2 linked regions of the Oreochromis niloticus genome follow. The protein of the gene in region 2 interacts with the protein of the main gene of each other region in a pairwise test. Links are inferred from orthologs where the notes say so. Each region holds a gene or a part of one and is shown on either strand. Other genes may lie near its edges. The genes, in order: spsb3a and numbl.

Region 1 (10,237 bases), on a different chromosome or scaffold from region 2:
ATAGGGTGTTATGTCCTAAAATAACAGGAGAAAGGATACACCCCTGTTTTGTAAAGTAACAAAGACTCTTTATCTTAATTGTATGCAAACAAATCCTGCTTATCTTCATAATCACCCCACCAAAAGGATCATTTGGAGCATGAACAGCCTTTTTTAATTCCTGATGTAAGCATTGAATTTTACATTGATATTTAGAAGGCAACAACATGAATGTGGACTGGTGAAGTTGTGGCCAACACCCAGTTGGATCAGTGTATCCTAATAAGATCTAAATTAGTTTAAAGACTTTCTCACACATTGAGGTGTGCCTGCTGCTTAAGTTGTGCATACCTGTGTGACCTTTGCTCTCCTTCAGGCTTTCATGTTTTCTGCAGGTGGCATAAAGACAATTTGGAGCAGTATGAGGAAAATTATTAATTAAATAATATTTGTTATAAATATTAGCTCTTAAACCTTTCATGCTTTTTGGCCTGCTTTTAATCACAACACGGTTTAATGAGGTTGACATCAAGTTTAATATTAACTCTTCCACAGTGACCCTTAAATTATTTAAAAGCATGACATTTTGGGAGGAAAAAATAACCTTGGGTGTCCTCTAACTTCAGCACAAACTGTGCATTGGTTGCACTTCAGTAACCCATCATTTTATACACCACAGCATTTAGGAGCCCCTTCATACAGCTGCATTATTTAAATTTGCTGTCACTCTCAGTAAAACTGGCCAACTTGAGATGTATGATTATTCTCCGTTTATCCAGTCCATGATTTATAGACATTAACCATTTAATGAAACCGAAGCCCCGATGTTACTTTTAAGAAAATGGTTCGCCTGTGTAGCTGAACACCCTCGTCATAGCCAACACTTCTCACTGCGAAAGGCGTGTGAATATTTTAGCTTTTGGACCCTTATGGTTTGAAAAGTTGCACAAAATGCAGACTAATAACAACTATTCCAGACTCCCAGACTACAGAGAAGTCCATTGCCTGTAAATGTGACTGCACAGCCAAGCAAGTGGGAAGTGAGGAAAGCTGTGTGTTATTGTACCATTATTATTTATTCATCCACCCCAGTGAGTGAGCCTTCTTTGCAAACATGCCGTGTTCACAGCTGCTCTCTGCTCGCAGCCAGCAAAGTCACATGTAATGATGAGGAATCGCCTGGCACCGATCTGCGCTCTCCAGGTGTTGAAGAATAGCGCCTGAATGCTCTGCATCAAAGACATTTACAATGTGAACGCCACCGCTCGGTGGCAGAACCTCTGCCTTCTTCTGATCAGAGGGGCTGACCTGCAAGTGATCCACTCTGTATTTAATAATAATGTTCATGCAGCTGTTTAAGTGCATGTGATGGGATTGTAAAAATCATACTGAGCACAGTATAAATATACACATGAATCCCCTTTAGTTTAAAGATACAACCTACTGAAATACAGTACAGCTCTGTCACTAGTTACAGCCCATTCATCACTTCTCAATCATCACAAGTAAGCATAATTTTTAGATGATGCTGCTCACTTTTCTGATCTTCATTTGCACAGTACACATTTACTGTGAACACAGAGGGTTTTCTAATGCAAAACAAATGAAATCGCATGCAAATAGGAGACAGTGATAAAGAAGCAGAGGCAGTTTGTGATCAACAGCAGGAGGAAATGCAGATAAAATAACAGGTTGAGATTCCTGCAAATGCCTGGGTTTATTGCAGAGTTGTTGTGGACGTATAAACTGTAATATTTTGGTATGTGCAGCATTCATGGCAGTGTGACGAGCCAAGCGGGCATCAGTGAAATGTGAGGTGACAGCAGAGCGGAGGGAAAAATTGCTGGACGAGCGCCCATCGGTGGCATTATTAGTCATGAAAAGAGTCATATAAAGTACTCAAGTGGGCGGTGTTGCGTTGCGTAGCGAGACTTCACAGTCTAACAACTTATAACATTTTTCATGCAATTTTTCCGAGATGGTTTGTGAGGAAAGCTAAAATGTAGGTGAAATGCAAGAAAGAACTGGCAGTCGAATTTCTCATCCTGTCTTTCAGCATCTTGCCTCAGAAGATAAAACTCTGAGCTTTGCTTCATTAACGCAGATTTATCATTTCTCTTTCTCAGCGTTAGGAGCAGCATATGGGACGGCAAAGAGCGGCACAGGCATCGCTGCCATGTCTGTGATGCGGCCAGAGCTCATCATGAAGTCCATCATCCCTGTGGTCATGGCAGGTATCATCGCCATCTACGGGCTGGTGGTGGCTGTGCTGATAGCAAACAACATATCTGAGAGAGTCTCTCTTTACAAGTAAGATAAACTTCTCATACAAAGGACCTTTGTTTGTTTGTCATATAGTGATGTTACAGTAAAATTGCAATCTCAATTTCATTGTCTGTGTCTGACGTGTTATTCAAGATTATGTTGAGTCGGGTTTCTATAGTTACTGTTTACATACACAACTTAATTTTAAGCAACGCAAAAACAAAGATTTAAGCTCACAAACAGGCTAAAAATGATCAGATTATAGCAACATTTTAAAAAGAGCAATCATCTCTGGCCTTTGAGCTCTATTATAATCTCTGCCATCTCCTTAAAGAAATAAACCTGTTGGACCTGAGCTTACTGTTTAACCTCCTTCATGGTCCACTTGTTTCATCTGGCTCTTCGTTGTTTTGCTGGGCGGGTCTCAGTCAGTTAACATGAATTGTTTCCCGGTGGCAGTTTTGTGATATAGCTGAGACCCAACAGCACAGTGTTTGTGGGCAGGAAAACCAAACTAGCGTTGTGCTGTCAAGGTGTACTATTTCACTGTAAACACAGCGCCATGCTCGTAAACAGGTGTTCACTTTGCTGTATGAAAGCACTTTAAATGGTCTTCTGACATTATTTATGTAGCAGCCCTGATGAGCACGTTTCTCTGGGGAGACCAGCCAGGGTTGAATTTTATTTGTTCCGGTTGTTTTTAAAAACTGTGGGCATGCATATTAACCACTAGGCGAGTCCTTAACATGCCACTTTCTGTAAAGACTTGAGCAATTTGATCTAGTCCAGTTATTATTAATAATGCATAAAGAGATTGCAGATTTGAAACTGGGCTTGTTCTTTTCAGAATTCAGCACTTTTATTCAGACCTTTTGGATAGAATTGCTGAAAAGCAGTAAATACAACAACACAAACATGTAGAGTGAAACTGCTGATCTCTGCACACTGCTTCCTATTTTTTCATGCAAGTTTAGAAGGAGGAACAAGAGAGAGGAGCGAACATAGCACGCCACAGTTTTGTAAACAAAATTTTGTGCTCACACACACTTAACACAACACATGCTCACACTAGATGAGGACGTTTCAGTGCACAATTTGATGCTACATATAAAACTCACAGAGTATTTCCAACCTATGGACGAAAAAGATATTTCAGTTCAATTCTATAGCACCAAATCACAAAACGGTCGCCTCAAGGCCCTTTATATTCTAAGGTGAAGACCCTACAATAATACAGAGAAAACCCCAACAATCAAACAACTGCCATGAGCAAGCACTGGGCAACAGAGGGAAGGGGAAAAATTCTCTTTTAACAGGAAGAAACCTGTGGCAGAACCAGGCTGTGAATGCTCCCAACTTCACAAAAGTATTTTCTACTGCTTCTCTTCAACAGGAGTTTCCTGCATCTCGGTGCCGGTCTGAGCGTGGGCCTGAGCGGCCTGGCGGCCGGGTTCGCCATCGGCATCGTGGGTGACGCCGGCGTGAGAGGGACCGCTCAGCAGCCTCGGCTGTTCGTGGGCATGATCCTGATCCTGATCTTCGCCGAGGTGCTGGGTCTTTACGGCCTCATCGTGGCCCTCATCCTATCTACAAAATAAGTGTCTCCATCATGCCACCATCTCATTCATTCCACATCAGAGCAGCAAGAACAAATAGGAGATTTTCACCTACTTCCATTACACCCGGTGGGTCTGACAGGACGGGATGGCGACAGAAACACATTCGACTTTGACAGCTCTGTCCTCAGATAGGTGTCTATCCATATTGTTGAAAGCCATCCAGTTGTGTCAGGTCTTGTGCGTACAGAACGGGCATGAACATGTACTGTGTGTTGTGGGATGATGTGTGGACAGTCTGCCTGATTTATTGTCTGATCTTAAACTGTACAGTGATCCAGAGCCCCCCTGCCCCCCAGTAAATGTAGTAACCAGTCTGTGCTGTGAGTGTGAGTATCAACGTTTACCCCCCTCTGCCCATTCCCCTCCTTTGGTTTATTTATGTATTTATTTATTTATTTATTTGTTTGTTTGTTTTTTGTTGGTGGTTTATATTGTCAACCTCTGTTTAAGACTGCTGAAGATATCGTGAACACTAGTATTTTATTTTTTTCATGTTCTTTTCTGGGACCATTTTTGAAACTTTTTTTTTCACTATTTATGGACAGCTATAAAGATTTTGAAGCTATCTAAATGGAGTACTGTTTATTGAATACCCTATATACATAAAAAATATATAAATTATCTGTGTATAGTTAGATTAATTGCACTGTGGGTAATTGTTATAAGTGCTTGGAATTCCTCTGGATGTAGTGTGAATATTAATGGAGGATGTCCACATGTTCATATGGAGTTGACAGTGTGTGTGCGTGAATGATCTGAGTGCATAATGTATGCAAGTGGATTTATGTTTAATATGACCTCCTCAGACACTTGTATCGTTTACCTGTAGTGCTGCTGTCTTGATTTGTTTGTTTTATTTTGTTGAAGGTGAGAGCTCACTGTTCAGCCATGCCTGTCAGATTTCCAAATAAAACTCAACCTCCTCCAGAATCTCACTGTCCAGTATTTATTTTTAAAGTATATCTGTTAATGAAATAACCAAACACTGCAAAAGGAAAGCAGACAGCAGATATCTGGCCAATATGTTGGGTATTTTAAACCCATAAGTTCATGGATTGAAAGTCTTCCAAACAGGTTAAATGAACAGTCCTGACCCCAAAAAAGTTTCATCTACAAGTTCTCATAAAATCTGAATACTGCAGAAACTTTATTTATTTACTTTTAGTCTTGACAGAGAATGGCCGGCAGCTGTCTGGTTAAAAACATTACCTGGTTTCGTGAGTCTTGACATTCAGATGGTGATATCAGAATTTGGCATAAATAACATGAAAGCAGATCCATCCGGCATTGTATCAACAATTCAGGCTGCTGGTGGTGGTGTAATGGTGTGGGCGATATTTTATTGGCACACTTTAGGTCTTTCAGTACCAACTGAACATCATGTAAAACGCCTACCTGAGCACTGTTGCTGGCCAGATTCATCCCTGCATGACCACCGTGTACCCATCTTCTGACTCCAGCAGGATGTTATGTCACAAAGCTCAAATCATCAGAAACTGTTTTGTTTTTTTCAAACAAGATACTGAATTAATTATACTCAAATGAACTCCACAGTCACCTCAATCATATAGAGCACTTTTGGGATGTGGTGGAATAGAAGATTCACATCATGGATGTGCAGCCAACAAATCTGCAAACAACTCTGTGACATTGTCAAGTCAATATGGGATATATGGAGGACTGTTGACAAAGTCTATGCCATGAAGAATTGAGTCTGTTCTGCAGGTGAAAGGGGGTTTCTAATAAAGTGTCCATTGAGGCTGTGTTTCTGCAAAAACTAGGGTGTGAGGCTGACTTAACCACTCAGTTTCCGATAATTTTATACCCTTGGCTCTGTGTGATGTCAGGAACAGTATTCTTGAATATAGCCCCACTCACCTACTCTGCAAACCTTGTGTTTATGAGGGGCAGCCAATAAGAAGAAAGCAAGCTTAAAGGAAGCTGGAACGGTGGATTAGCTTAGCAGCTGAACTGAAACCCAACATTAAATAAATAAGGATTATTTTCAACTTCTATCATGCAACACTAATTTAGTGAAGTCCAAGAATAAATAGTGATCCTAATATTGACTGTATCAATACCAACACTGGAATTGGTATTGGATCGATACTAGCGGATTAGATCAATAGTTTGTTTCTATCCTCTAAGTTCAGTATGTAGCACACACCTCAAACATGCACCATGAAAAATGTCAGGGCCTTTTTGTATTGAGTGTCATGTCTATTTCATTTATAACCTATAAACTCCATTAACAGAAGCTGACCCAGAGTCCTTTAAGCAGGCACATTTAAACTCTGGCTCTCCAAAAAAACCCAGTTTCAAAATATATGAAAACCTGAAAGGTGTGTTTTTGTTGTGTCAAATAAGTAAGTAAGTTGTGGAAAGTAAAAAATAACAGTGATTTATTGTTCAAAATTAGCAAATTAATGATAATTCATCTCATAAATCATGACATAATGTTCTCACCATCAGCTGGCTTTATAGCTTAAAAGTATCGGTATCGTTATTGGTATCGGCAATAGTGGCCTGCTATTTACTTCGTATCGGATCGATAGCAAAATTTTCGGTATTTTACCATGTTAATGCCTTAAAGGTTCTCCACCGCAGGGGATACTTGTTTTTACGGCTGAGTATAACAGGTTCAGTCACTGCTGGCTGCTGAGATGATGACAGGAGTCTGTGATGAGTGCAGAAAACTTCCTGCGCCGCAGCTCCTCCTCAGTCTGCCTGTTATTGTTTACGGTCGCACTCATGAAAAGTAGGTCATGGAAAACAGAAGCCCGGCGAGCTGTCTTGCCTGAAGTATCTTGTAATACAGGACACTCAAGGGACGACGTCTTTGCGGGTTTAGCGGTTTTTATGTAGAAACTGAATGTGACCAACAAACAGGTAATAAGAACGTCTCGCTTTTATTTTTCAGCAATGCTAGCAGCGGGTAGCTAACGAAAGCTAAATAGCTAGCCTAAAATAGGTTTCTTGATGCATGTCATCAGATAAATTGCGACCTTACGTGCCTTAGATGTATTTACCGTGTTGCAATGTAAATACGTATCAATAATCACCAGTAAAATGCTTCTGACCTTGTTATTACCAGCTAACATGTTGATACATACGCGGCTCTGCTGGCTAGCCAGGTAGCTAGCTTTAGCCGTTTGTGTTAGTTTTAAAAAATGCTATTTGTGAAAAGTAGTTTCCTACCTAATCAAGGGGGTAATAATTTTTACTTGTGATATAATTGATTTGTGGACAAAGTTAGCTTTATGCTATGTTGATATGGTGATATGTGTAAGCGTGAGCCGATACAGAGGGGAGGTTTCAGTGGGATACGGCTAATGCTGCCCTGAAAATGCTTTCTAAAATGTCTTAAATAACATACATTAAACATGAGATTAGAGATGGGGTTGCAGGATTTATTTAAAATAAAGCACTATAAATGCGTGGTGTAGGAAATGTTGCCATACAGACAAGCCAGGATTTATGAATAATACACATTATACGTCACACGGGGTCTGCAGACAGATGCACGACTTTGTCGTTCAGTACTAAAAGCAGCTCAGTTTATGTGAGTTTTTGTTGTTGTTGGTTTTTTCCCGTGATAATCACATTGCATTGTTGTCATTCAGCTGCTGTACTGATGCCGTTCTTCCAACATCTGGACTAAACCTCAGCAGACTGGCAGGTTCTTCCTACAGTGAGACTCTGTTGCTGCCATGTCCAGGAGAAGCAGGAACAGTCGTGCATGGAGATATGTGTGGGGAGGCATACGGAGGGATGCTGATGCCCGGGCCCTTGTGTTGGCTTCTGAGAGTGAAGAATGGAACTATGATCGCCTTGAGGTAAATAAGGAAGATGTGGATCCCCACCAGACAGAAAGCATCTAACTTGGATTTGGGCGTTATGAGCTGTGTGCATTTGTTAATATCATTGTGTGATGCTTAAAGCTTGAGGGTCAGTTGTTTCAATGCGGAAAGGATAGTGAAGGAAAGCATTGTTTGCCTCCTGCAATGCAGCATCTCCATTTAGCATTTTTCGAGGGCTGACAGCAAAGTCTGTGCATAAATAACACTGCAGACAGTTTATTTTGCTCTTTTTATTTCTTTGTTGTTGTTGCTCCGAAGTACGCAAGTGATTCAGACTCTGAGGGAGACTTTTCAGCAGTGATGGTCCCACCAGTCCCCAGCGCAGTACCCGTCACCGGAGAGTCCTACTGCGGTTGTGATTCCCAGGCAGAGACCAGCTACAACCCTCGTCTGCGAGGCTTTCTCCAGGTTAAAGACTGCCACTGTGGAGAGGATGACCAAGGTACATGACAGCCGGGGCAGGGCACAGTACATCATCTTTTGTTATGCTCATTAATATTTGATAAATGACTCGTTATGTTTTAGATTTTGATTGGGTTTGGGATGCCAACAGCCGATCGACAGCAACATTACTGAGCTGCGAAAATCGCAAAGTGAACTTCCACTCTGAATACAGCTGTGGTACAGCTGCAATCCGTGGCTCCAAGGAGCTCGCAGACGGGCAGCACTTCTGGGAAATTAAGATGACGTCCCCAGTGTACGGAACAGATATGGTAAAGCTCGACTTCTTATTTTCCTTAGTCACCAAAAATTGTCCTAGAAGCAGAACAAATGTGTATTTGTGCCTAAATGTTTATTTATTTCTGCACAGATGGTTGGTATCGGTACATCTGATGTCAATCTGGACAAATACAGACATACCTTCTGCAGCCTGCTGGGAAAAGATGCAGACAGCTGGGGGCTTTCTTACACTGGTAACTTAAACACAAGTGCCCCTGATGTATTGATAGTTGCTCAAAAGGGGTTTTATATGTTAAACATCATTGGTTTTGTTCATTTTCCAGGCTTGTTGCATCATAAAGGAGACAAAATGAACTTCTCCTCACGTTTTGGTCAAGGTTCCATCATTGGAGTTCATCTGGACACGTGGCACGGCACACTTACTTTCTTCAAAAATCGAAAGTGCATAGGTTTGTGGACAGTTTTTCTACTGATTAGATTACATAAATACTAATTTATTTCTGATGTGTCCCTGGTCACACAGGCCTACAAAATGAGCAGCAACCAGCTTGGAACCACAAACATCCTTCCGCTTGCTTTATTTGATAGCAGTTTGATTCCTTTGTCTGTAGTTTGCACAGAAGATGCAGATTTATCTGCAAAAACTCACCAACTACTCTCCAAGAGGTAGTGAAAGTGTAAAAAGTTGGAAATGCTAGAAACCAAAGCAATTACAAGGAGGTTTTTTGTGACCAATCTTTGCAGCCAGTTTCACCTAGCAACTGGTGGCAACCTCCAGCAACCACTATAAGTTCACAAGCCTTTTTCCATTTTAACTGCAGGTTCCCAGTGTGTTTTGGACCAGTTTGTAAGCCTGTGTGACTCAGCCCTAATAGGTCAACTATATGCAAAGGCGAAGGAGTTTTTGTAATCATAAGAAACAGATGCTGTTTAGTGGAGACCTTCTGCTATCTTACAAAAATGTGAACCGCAGTGTGCTCCTGAAACTCAATAATACAGATTTCTCACCCGTCTTGATCCAGGAGTTGCTGCTACAGAGCTGCAGAATAAGAGGTTTTATCCAATGGCGTGCTCCACAGCGGCGAAGAGCAGCATGAAGGTCATCAGATCCTGCTCTGCACCCACCTCCCTGCTGTACCTGTGCTGTGCTCGTCTTCGCCAGCTGGTGCCAGACTGTATAGACATCCTAGATGTGTTGCCCCTACCACCTGGCCTGCGTCATTTGCTCCACAACAAACTGGGTTGGGTGCTCAGTCTTACCGGTAACTGCGGCACAATGGAAGAAACCCCAGATGGCGCTGAGCAGTCCTCAAGTTTGCCGGTCCCCGCTTTGGCAGGACCGTCCTCCTCCGAGAGCGACTCAGAGGGTTGTTCGTCCGATCCAGAGGCCTGTCAGAGGAAGAGATGCCGCTGGACATGACTGGGCGACTCGATCCTACCTCCCCTTAAACACTGGCAGACATTAGTGTCCTTTGGCATCTGATGTAGTGTTACTGAACTGCCTCAAGCTTTCTTTATTAGTGGCGTCTGGAGAAAGTAACGAGGGCGGTCGAGCGGAGGGAGCGAAACGTCGGTGGAAAACTGTGATCTTCTGTCATGCCATTCTTCATGCTCATCACATGTCGAGTATCAAAGCCAGCTTCAGTAAAAGGTGAAAATATACCATGTTATTTTGTTATGGGTGGATGTGGTGGTCATCAAAATGGGGAGGGTTAAAAAAACAGATACTGTATAGAAATTTTCTGTATTTTCATCGCGTATCTTGCATTTAATGTATGTTTTTCTCACTTTAAATGTTATCAGTGAGTTATCAGAGGACTTTGTTACATGTAT
Region 2 (9,394 bases):
TTGCAGTTCACAGTAAGAATGAAATATTGGCTATAAGAGTAAGTTCAAGTACTTTACTGCTACATTCTCTGTGCTAAACTAGGTTGACACCCAGTTTAGCACAGAGAATGGTATTTTTGTACATGTGAACTTACAGGAATTCAAAGTATTACAAAGCAGTAAACTATTGGAGATTGTTTGCTCCATCTGACAGAAATCCTGCAGGGAGGGAGCTGTTTCCAGGAAGTAACAAAGGCTTAGAGACGCACAAAACACACTCTCCGTATCTGTATCTTTCTCCCTCATAAACATACATAGTCCTACTTAGATTAATAAAACACTGCACTGCATCCTGTCCTGGGACAAACTTCAGTCTAAACACAAGTGCCCTGGTTTATGTCCGCTGCCTCACGCTCCTTTATATTTTAATCACACACACACACACACACACACACACACACACACACACACACACACCACCTGTCACTTTCAGGGAGTATGAGAAAAAGAGAGACATACTTGGGGATAATAGTAATGGTAGTATGTGTCAGTGTCTCTATGTGGGTCACTCAGTGTCAGTGTCAGTGTGTGAAGTCTGCAGGGACCACAAACTGGGTCAGTTTTTACTGCGTGTGTGCGCGTCGTGTCAGCATAATGTGCCTGCATCCAATGTGTTTGTTGATTTATGCAAACATTACCTATTAGGGTAATGTTTGCATAGTTTCTTACAGCACTTCTAAAATGATGGAAAGGTTTGAATGAAATATTTCTTTTTGGTTTTTGGTGCCTTTATTAGTTCAATAGCCAGTAATATGCATAAAGTTTCCACATGTAGGCAATACATGTATTTATGAGACTGAGTGCTCAATAAATTCTGTTATTTCATTTTACATGTAATTTGTATGATTTCATTGTTTTGGTTTGGAGCAGAAAAGCTGGCTGCCAACCCAACACCACCATATTACAATTTCTTAGCAGAGAAATTCCTCTTCAAAGGTAAATATGTAGGACTTCAGCTGTGGGATTGTATCTGCACTTATTACACTTTATACTCTTTAACATTGAAGGGAATTGTGAAGTCAGGAAAATATTCTAAGCTCTTAAGCTTGAGAGTGCCCGCATAATGCACAAACGCTATGCTAATTATGCTGCAGTCACACTTTGGAAAACGAAATTATTACAAACATGTGCAATGCACTTGTGATATCAAACAGCGATAAGATGGAGTTCAAATAGAACATGGTCATTTTCTTGGTGAACCGGTCTGTCACTCCAACTACTTGTGAATCTGTCCCCAAAAATTGTACTGCAATCACCAGTGAGACGCACAAAACGGTGAGAGTTTTCCTAATTGCAAGGAGGTTGCTGTCCTATTTTTACTCCTAGTGTGACTGAGCCAATATGATGACATGCATGAGCTGAACTTTGTAAGCACACATCTGTGTTTAGGCTAAAAAATCTTAGGTAATGTTCATGTTTTGTTAGCCGTGCTGAAAAAAAGCAAGTTTAAAGAGTTATTAATCCAACCATTATGCAGATCATTTTGAACTTATGTAACACGGCTGTTAGCAATTACAATGCGATTACTGAGTTTAGGACCAGTAATGTATGTGTTGTAATTTGTTAACCCACTGTGGATCTTTTCAGAGTATAATACACTCTCGCTCCTGCATGCTGCTGTGGTAATAGAGACCTTTGATACTTTCCCACTCCACTATGACTTAAAAGTTGCTGTGAGTCATACTCGCAGCTTTAGCGAAACACCTCAGCGTCTTATTTGCACAGCCAAAGAGCCACAGCCGGACTTTAGTAGAGTGGGCAACACAGAGAGGTACAGTGTGTCCACATAAAGTGGTCAGCACTATGATGACTAAGCCAAGGCAATACTCTGTTACTGCACTCACAAAGATAAACACGCTTAAACACACACACACTGGAGACTTGCTCCACCTCTTTATGTCCATTCCTAGTTTCTTTGGAGCTCCACACACATATGGCTTTCCGTAATACGAGGTGGCAGTGAGTCATTGTGTGTGTGTGTGTGTGTGTGTGGTAACATCACCGCTCTCACCCCTACTCCCCTTCTTGTTTGAGCTGTGTTTTTCTTAAGCATCTGGTTGAGGAGATGTGTGAGGGAGGAGTATGTCCCATTTTGCCAAAATCTCTGGGCCGATGTTGAACACAGAACATCTGGATCAGGGAGGGACGTTGCGTACGTGTGTGTGTTTGTGTGTGTGTGTGCGTGTGTGTGTGTGTGTGTGTGTGTGAAAGAGAGGCATTGTGCCAAAGAAATCAATCAGAGTCACATCTGGCAGACACAAAACGCAGCTGGACGCACAAGCAGTCTTAACACAGATCATGTGTTGTTAATACAGAGGTGAGACAAATACAAGACATCTGACATTTGTAATATACATATATTCGGGAATGTGCTGTTATTACTGATAATTATAGTAAATCCCATGCACACATGCTGTTAATAACCACCAACCATCTCACAGTTAAAATACCAACTTAAGCCGGAGCAAGATGTAAAAATTCTTTTCACCACATTTTATTAGTCTGTACGCGTAAGCTAGCTCTTCACACTAAAGTCAGCCCTGTGAAACCTATTTCCTCACATTCGCATCGGCAGAGCTGCAGACGTTTAGCTTCGGGCTCGTTTTTGCGCCCGTCTCCGCATCTTTTTTGAACAAGAGATCTGCAGTGTAAGTAACAGTTAAGAAGAAGGAATAGGGAGGACCAGAGTAGGAGGTCGGCTCGGGTGAAAGAAATTTCTACGACATAACATCATATGACCGTAAGTTGTCCTGCTTGCCATCTCCCCAACAATACATTCCAGATGGCTGCAAACTCAAACACTAAACTGGGAACAAATATGTGCTTTTTTGGCACCGGGCCTCTTGTTTGTGTAGGCTACACTGAAGTGCTTACGAGTTTTGCGTGGGTTCATAAAGGGAGTGGGATTTAATTTGTGCCATTGATTTATAGATTTATTTTGATGCTTGCCAACCCACCCCCTCTGTCTGGCTCTCATCTTTTTTTCCCCCCCTCACTGCAGATGGTTCTAGTTTTGCAGGGCTAGGTCACAGCTATGCAACGACTTCACCATTTCAGTGTTTGGCAGTTTCACCGCCCTAATGTGTCTCTCTATCATTAAGTGTTTACTACCAGATAGTTTTGTTCATTTCACGCCACGGTGCACATCATGAGAAAGCCCATCAACCTGCGTTCACCTGTATTTTCATTGTAGCCTGGATGAGTTCATTTAGTGCTTTGACTTAGATGAGAAAACTGATACCAATGAATATTATCTTTCCAATAAATAATTACAACGCTAAAGTTACACTAGAGAAAACAATAGTGGGAGACCAAGGCCCAGCTAAAATTATTGCAGCTGTGTGGACTGAACTTCTCTTGAATCCAGAATAAGAAACATCCACTCATTATATGTGATGCTGCTGTATAAAATAGTGAAACCGCTGATGAAAATTTCATGTAGAAATTCAAAATGGAGAACTTCCTTCAGGGTTCAGGGCGTGGATCCAAGAGGAATTTTTTGTGTCTCAATGACACGTCTACCAAATTTTATATATGTGTTAAATTCGTATATATGGTTGCAATTTTAAAGGGACCCATAAAATAAGTACATTGACACCCGACCTAACACAAGCAAAATTTCAAGAGTTATCGATCATGTTTAGGTTCTCAAATATGCAATTCATTTTTATAATTAATAAAACTGAGGAGATACCATGCTTACCATTGGATGAGCAGTTGGGTTTTTAAAAAAATGTATTTACTAATAAATAAAAAAAAATCTGCATTATTGCTGGATGTTGCTCTGTCTGACTTTCTGCCCTCGTGCTTGTAGTGTACTGACCTGTGAATCTGTTAAGCTACTCTACTCCCACACAGTTCCCTTTTTATTAAGACTAGACGATGGATGATGAACAGGATCATTTAGTGTATTATAACACCAATTCTCTCACCTCAGTACTTCATTCCTCCCTTTTTCTCAAACTTGTCCCAGTATCCTTAGTCCACATTGTTTAATTTCTGCGTCTCTCCGATGTGGTTTGCCATTGGATGCCAGTGCCATTTGCTCACTACTCCTCCCCCGCTGTCCTAGACCATATGAGGGTGTCCTGTATTCCTTACCCAGTACTTCCTTTACTGGGTCTGTTAATTTACAGGGTCCGTTTACTCATGCCAGGCATGAGTTAAGCCACCCCAGCCCCCTTCTACCTCTGCTGTGAGGCGTTATGTAAAACTCTGCTGTAACCCTTTCGCTCACGCCCGTTCACACCTGCTGCAGCAGTGCTGGGGGCGTGCCAGGTGCCAGTCAGCTGGCACTTTTCCCAGATATGAGCGGCACAAACCTCGACATGTGTGAAAAGCTGCAGAGGGGCTTGTGGGTATGTTTTGTCTGTGTGTGTGTATGAGCATCTACTCTTGGCAGATGACACATGCCTCACATGCTAGACATGAGTAAAGCCACTTGAGCTGTTGCATTTGAATACTCTGCATTACACAGGGAGTGTGTGTGGTGCACAAGAATTGCACACACGCTTCCGGTACACCAGTCTTTGGCAGCATTACCATCAGGGTAGCAGCAATTATGAGAAGTGACGTGTCCGACTATATATTCAGTATAAATTTGGCCCCGTGGTGGCAGAGCCGAGAGAAGCGTTCTGCCCTTCAGTGTTGAGATCACCACTTTACATATGGACATCGTATGTCTTCAGTGTAAGATTAATGTGCTCTCTTACCCTGTAAAAGCTGGAATGCCGATTTATGGATCATCCAGATGGTAAGCGAATAAAACAAGATCGCTCTTTACTCTTATTAACTCAAGATATATGGAAGAATACGACACGAGATAAGCATTTCTAATATATTGTGATCTTATAATAATAATTTTATGCAAGCCTTTTTTTTCTAGCACTCTTCCTGGTTTGATATTGCGGATTTACAAACTGGGCCTTGCTCGTGTATCACTAATCAGATCCCTTATACTGTGTAGAGAAGAGAGACCAGTTGTGTTCAGAGATTGAGGACAAGAAAAGCAGAATAGACTCACTGCTTAGTCCAATTTGAAACTTTTGACTTGGACAACAAGGAAGCTGATGATGCAGTTAATTTAGAGTCAATAAAGAGAAAGGACGCAAATGAGGAAAGAGGTGTTTTTATTGTACTTCAGATCTCCTGTTGAAGCTGGGATGTGAGTGTGGAGGAATGAAAACAGTAATTATTTTTTTAAAGCAGGTCATGTTTTGATGGCATCATGTTTCATTATGCTGGGAAATTAGCACGCGCTAAACAGGCCAGCGGGCTGAATGGTCTAATTAGGGAGCGGAGGGAGGATTGTTCACAGGAGGAGTGGAGTGCACACATGTGTGTGCTGATTAGCATGCGCTCAGCATTCTTGATGTTTCTTCGAGAGATGAAAGCGTGCCCGATGCTTTTGTGTTCATTAATGTTCTACCTGTGTGATTTGTACAGCCTGCGTCTGAATGGAGAATCAATGGAGCATTATGATGGAAAGTGTTTGTGGCACTGATGTACTGACTGCCTTGTTAGAAATGATTATAGCTTAATGAGCTCCAGCCAATCAATGAAATCCTTCCCACTTCTCTCATAATACCATATGAAATACAGGACTGTGGTTTGTCTCAAGTGGCATTTCATTCAATTATAGTTTGGCACTGTTGCATTTAAACATTTTTTAATGTGCCTGACTATTTAATTGCTATTACATGAATGTGTTTTTAAAAATTCTTTTATTGTTCTGTGCTTGCGGTAATGAGACTCAGGTGGTTGTCATTTTTCCTTTGTTGAGTACAGAGATACTCTATGGCCTTCCAGTGCTCTGCAACTAAACTTACATCCCTTTCTGTGTCTGCAGTACCAGGGAGCACGTGACCCCGGAGATGAACAAGCTTCGTCAGAGCCTGAGGAGGAAGAAGCCCACCTATGTGCCAGAGGCCAGCAGACCGCATCAATGGCAGGCTGACGAGGAGGCTGTACGCAAGGGCAAATGTAACTTTGCTGTTCGGGTAAGTATCTACAGTCGTTATTCGGTTAATCTAAGCCTGATTCATTTCTTTTTTTATTTCTTTCTTCATTTATTTTAATGTTAAGTATGAAAAAGCAAATGAGTTAAGACTATGAGATAATATTTAGGCAAGATCTTATGTGCTAACAGTGATGCTGGCTAGAGGAGCTGCTCAGAGCGAGCCTCAACTAAAATAGCTTTATCAAAAGCATATTTTTACACAAACTGAATGCTGAACCAGACAAGATGGCACCTAATATGCCAGTCATATCATCCATGTCCTAAATATTTTCAGCACATTTGAAACTTATATTCACTCTCACAAAGATATCGCAGGGTGGGAAATTATCTAAAAAAGTAAAGTTGCAAACATGTTTATCTCTGTTATAATGTTGGGCTTTTTGGAGTCTTTAGGGATTAACTAACTTTTGGAGCCAGCCTCAAGTGGCTATTTAATGAATTGCATTCTGCCTTTGCTTCGTTTTTAAACCCCAGAGACTGGCCCTTATTAATAAGTGAAGTCAGTGCTGTATAAATACATTCAGCAATAAAGGGTGCACAAGATTCTCACGTAATTATCACTTTATCTTAGCAGTACGGTCTGTTAGTTTTTATGCAAAGCTAAGCTAGTTGTTTGCTGCCACCAGCTTTCTTGAAGTCTGAATATTATCTGAATAAAATGTGTGTGTGTGTGTGTGTGTGTATATATATATATATATATATATATATATGTATATGTATATGTATATACACACACATATATATGTATATATATATAAAAACTGACAAAAGTGCTGTCAGTGTTAATCTCGTTAAAATGATATTAACGCCATAATCACATTAACGCGACAAATCTCTGTTAGAGAGTTGACGCGGATCACCCCGTGCGTGGGGCTGGATGGCGCTAATGCATTGACGCCGTGTAGCCTCACGCACGAGATTAATGAGATTAACACTGACAGCACTAATAAAAACAGCATAAATCTTATTATTTCTATTTGTTCATAATATTACAGTACCTAAAGAAAGCAAATATACTTTTTAATGTAATGCCTATGGTTAGGCTTTGTGATACATTTCAGGATAGTTTGGCTCTGACCTTTGATCTTTATAAGAACCGTCAATAGTAAAGCACTGATCCATATTCTACCTCAGTAGCTGAATGCCTCCCATGCCATAAATGCAAAAAAAGGGCCGCCATTAACGGACCAATTTACTGATAACAAGCTCCGTTCTGAGCATGTACTGTATGGCCATCCTTGAGAGCTAAAGTGATTTGTAGAAGAGCTGGAGAGAGAATGAAGGAGGGAGATGGAAGCCAGAGAAAGAGGAGTGACGATGAGGTAAGGTTATAGATTACAGAGAGCACAGGAAATGACAAGGTGAGGGATGAGGGCGCACAGAGGGTAAGGAGAGACATTTTCAGATTTGAAATGAGAGATAGATAGAACCAGATAAGATAAGTGAAAGGAAAGAAAGACCGCAGACTGAATGGACCAGGAGAGAAATACAAAGCAAAAAGATAAAGGCAACAAAGAAAGCTGAGAGTATAAGAAAAGGCATCGTGTGGGGCTGAGGCTAATGGAAAACGGTCCTGATGGTAATGGTCCAGAGAGCTAGCGATGAGATGGGCACTGAAGTGGAGCTCAGAGCTTTAGCAAGAGATGTAAGCACAAAAACCTCTGTCTCTTTATATGTTGTTTTTACCTCCATGCTCGCTCAACCATCTTTTCTTTTTCAGTGCTTTCTCAGTGTTTTTAGTTTCTAAATGAGTCACGAACTATTAATGCCTTTTCAAAAGCATTTGAACTGTTGCTACCAAAAGAAAACGTGTCAGCTCAGCTCACTGCTCAAAGAAAAGTTGTTTTTTTTACAAACTAAAGAATGTGGGATAAAATGGCCCATTGGAAGATTTGCCTGGTGCCTCTCATACTTTGGTTATAGAGCATATGAAGCTCTAGATGGCCTTACTTATGTTTTGACTTCAATTTGTGTGTAATGGTCATCATTTTTATGTTTTTTAACAACACGTCTTATTTTGGTAATATATCCAGTTAGCAAGCTAGCAAGGTAAAATAACAGCTGCCAACTGTGATAGTGTAAGGCAGACCAAACTATGTTAGCTCAGCCATTGTGACATTAACAATGTTAGCCTGTTTGAAATTTTAAAAAGAGGGCAGACACCCCTCTTTTATAGGTAGCAGTGGCACTAATGTAATTTCTGTTGTTTACTATCACAAAATAGTCAGAGTATTTGTTCAGGCAAGTCACAAAATGTAGCTCAGCTCATAGTAAATGGTACATGGACTGGTTCCATATCACACTTTTCTACTCTACTGGAATACTCAAAGTGCTTTATACAACATGTCTCATTCACCCACTTTATTTAATATATAAGTGCTTTCTATATAACAATCACACATTCATACTCCAGTGAATGCATCTGAGAGTAATTTGAGGTTCAGCATTTTGCCCAAGGATACTTTGGCATGCAGACAGGGATCAAACCACCAACCTTCCAGTTAGTGGATGACCTGCTCTAATTCCTGATACCTGCCTAAACCATAGTCCTAATAACAATTGCTGATTTTAAGCCAGCCCACATCAGCTGATGCTTCAATTTATTGTTTGCTTTTGTCTTTTTGAAAGTCCCATAGAAGGCACTCCTTATAAGCTATTTTAACATACATACCCTTGCTGCTTTCTCTACAAGCCACTTTGCAACCTGCCTTCTTGGCATATTTTCTTTCAGTTCGTTCTTCTCACACCTTTTAAGTGACTTAAATAGCAGTCAAAAACAACAAAAACCAAGTAGCTGAAACTCAGTGCTATATATTCAAATGTAACGTAGAGTTGCCTACATAACATCACAGTTGCTAATTATCCTTTTATGGACAAAGGTGAGTTGAAATTCGATAAGAATGAAGCAAAATATTGATGGGGTGTGACAGATGTTAAATAATCGATCCCACAAAACTCAATTTATCTCTGTGAAGTTCTTTATTCAGCTCTCTCAAACCTGAGCTGTAACTAAAAACAAAAACCTTGGAAGTCCATCCTCCAACATCAGGGGTGGATATTAAAGTAAGCTCACAATCTGAGTATTAACTTTGTTTTATTTTACAAATTGCAAATTTGCAAATGTTTTATTTTTTTGTCTTAAGGGGACTTATATATTTCACTGGCTACATGTTAAATATCGAATTGATTTTAAGCTTTTAAGTACTTTTGAGGCCATACGTTATCACATCGCTCCTACCTAAATTATAGATTTAGTCTCGCTTTATGACCTCAACTGCTGCCTGTGTTTCTCAGATCAGACCTTCCTGATTGTTTCCAACTGTGTTTTTGCATTCA

What was found.
Region 1: the proteins of numbl (region 2) and spsb3a interact in binary tests that used the Homo sapiens proteins (3 or more experiments, as listed by UniProt). The two-hybrid records come from large-scale screens. The link is inferred for Oreochromis niloticus from reciprocal best matches to the Homo sapiens genes NUMBL and SPSB3.

The regions. Positions count from the first base shown.
Region 1 is NC_031969.2:14,040,528-14,050,764, forward strand, and holds the start of spsb3a (SPRY domain-containing SOCS box protein 3a), read left to right. Parts: upstream 1-6,419; 5' UTR 6,420-6,752; intron 6,753-7,486; 5' UTR 7,487-7,573; coding exon 7,574-7,699; intron 7,700-7,981; coding exon 7,982-8,165; intron 8,166-8,248; coding exon 8,249-8,436; intron 8,437-8,534; coding exon 8,535-8,637; intron 8,638-8,727; coding exon 8,728-8,853; intron 8,854-9,426; coding exon 9,427-9,824; 3' UTR 9,825-10,237. Other genes in the region: atp6v0ca (ATPase H+ transporting V0 subunit ca), read left to right, coding at 2,106-2,289, 3,638-3,842.
Region 2 is NC_031979.2:8,644,658-8,654,051, forward strand, and holds the start of numbl (numb-like protein), read left to right. Parts: upstream 1-4,664; 5' UTR 4,665-4,706; coding exon 4,707-4,792; intron 4,793-5,417; exon of another isoform or gene 5,418-5,522; intron 5,523-5,887; coding exon 5,888-6,038; intron 6,039-9,394. UniProt on the Homo sapiens protein: Plays a role in the process of neurogenesis. Required throughout embryonic neurogenesis to maintain neural progenitor cells, also called radial glial cells (RGCs), by allowing their daughter cells to choose progenitor over neuronal cell fate.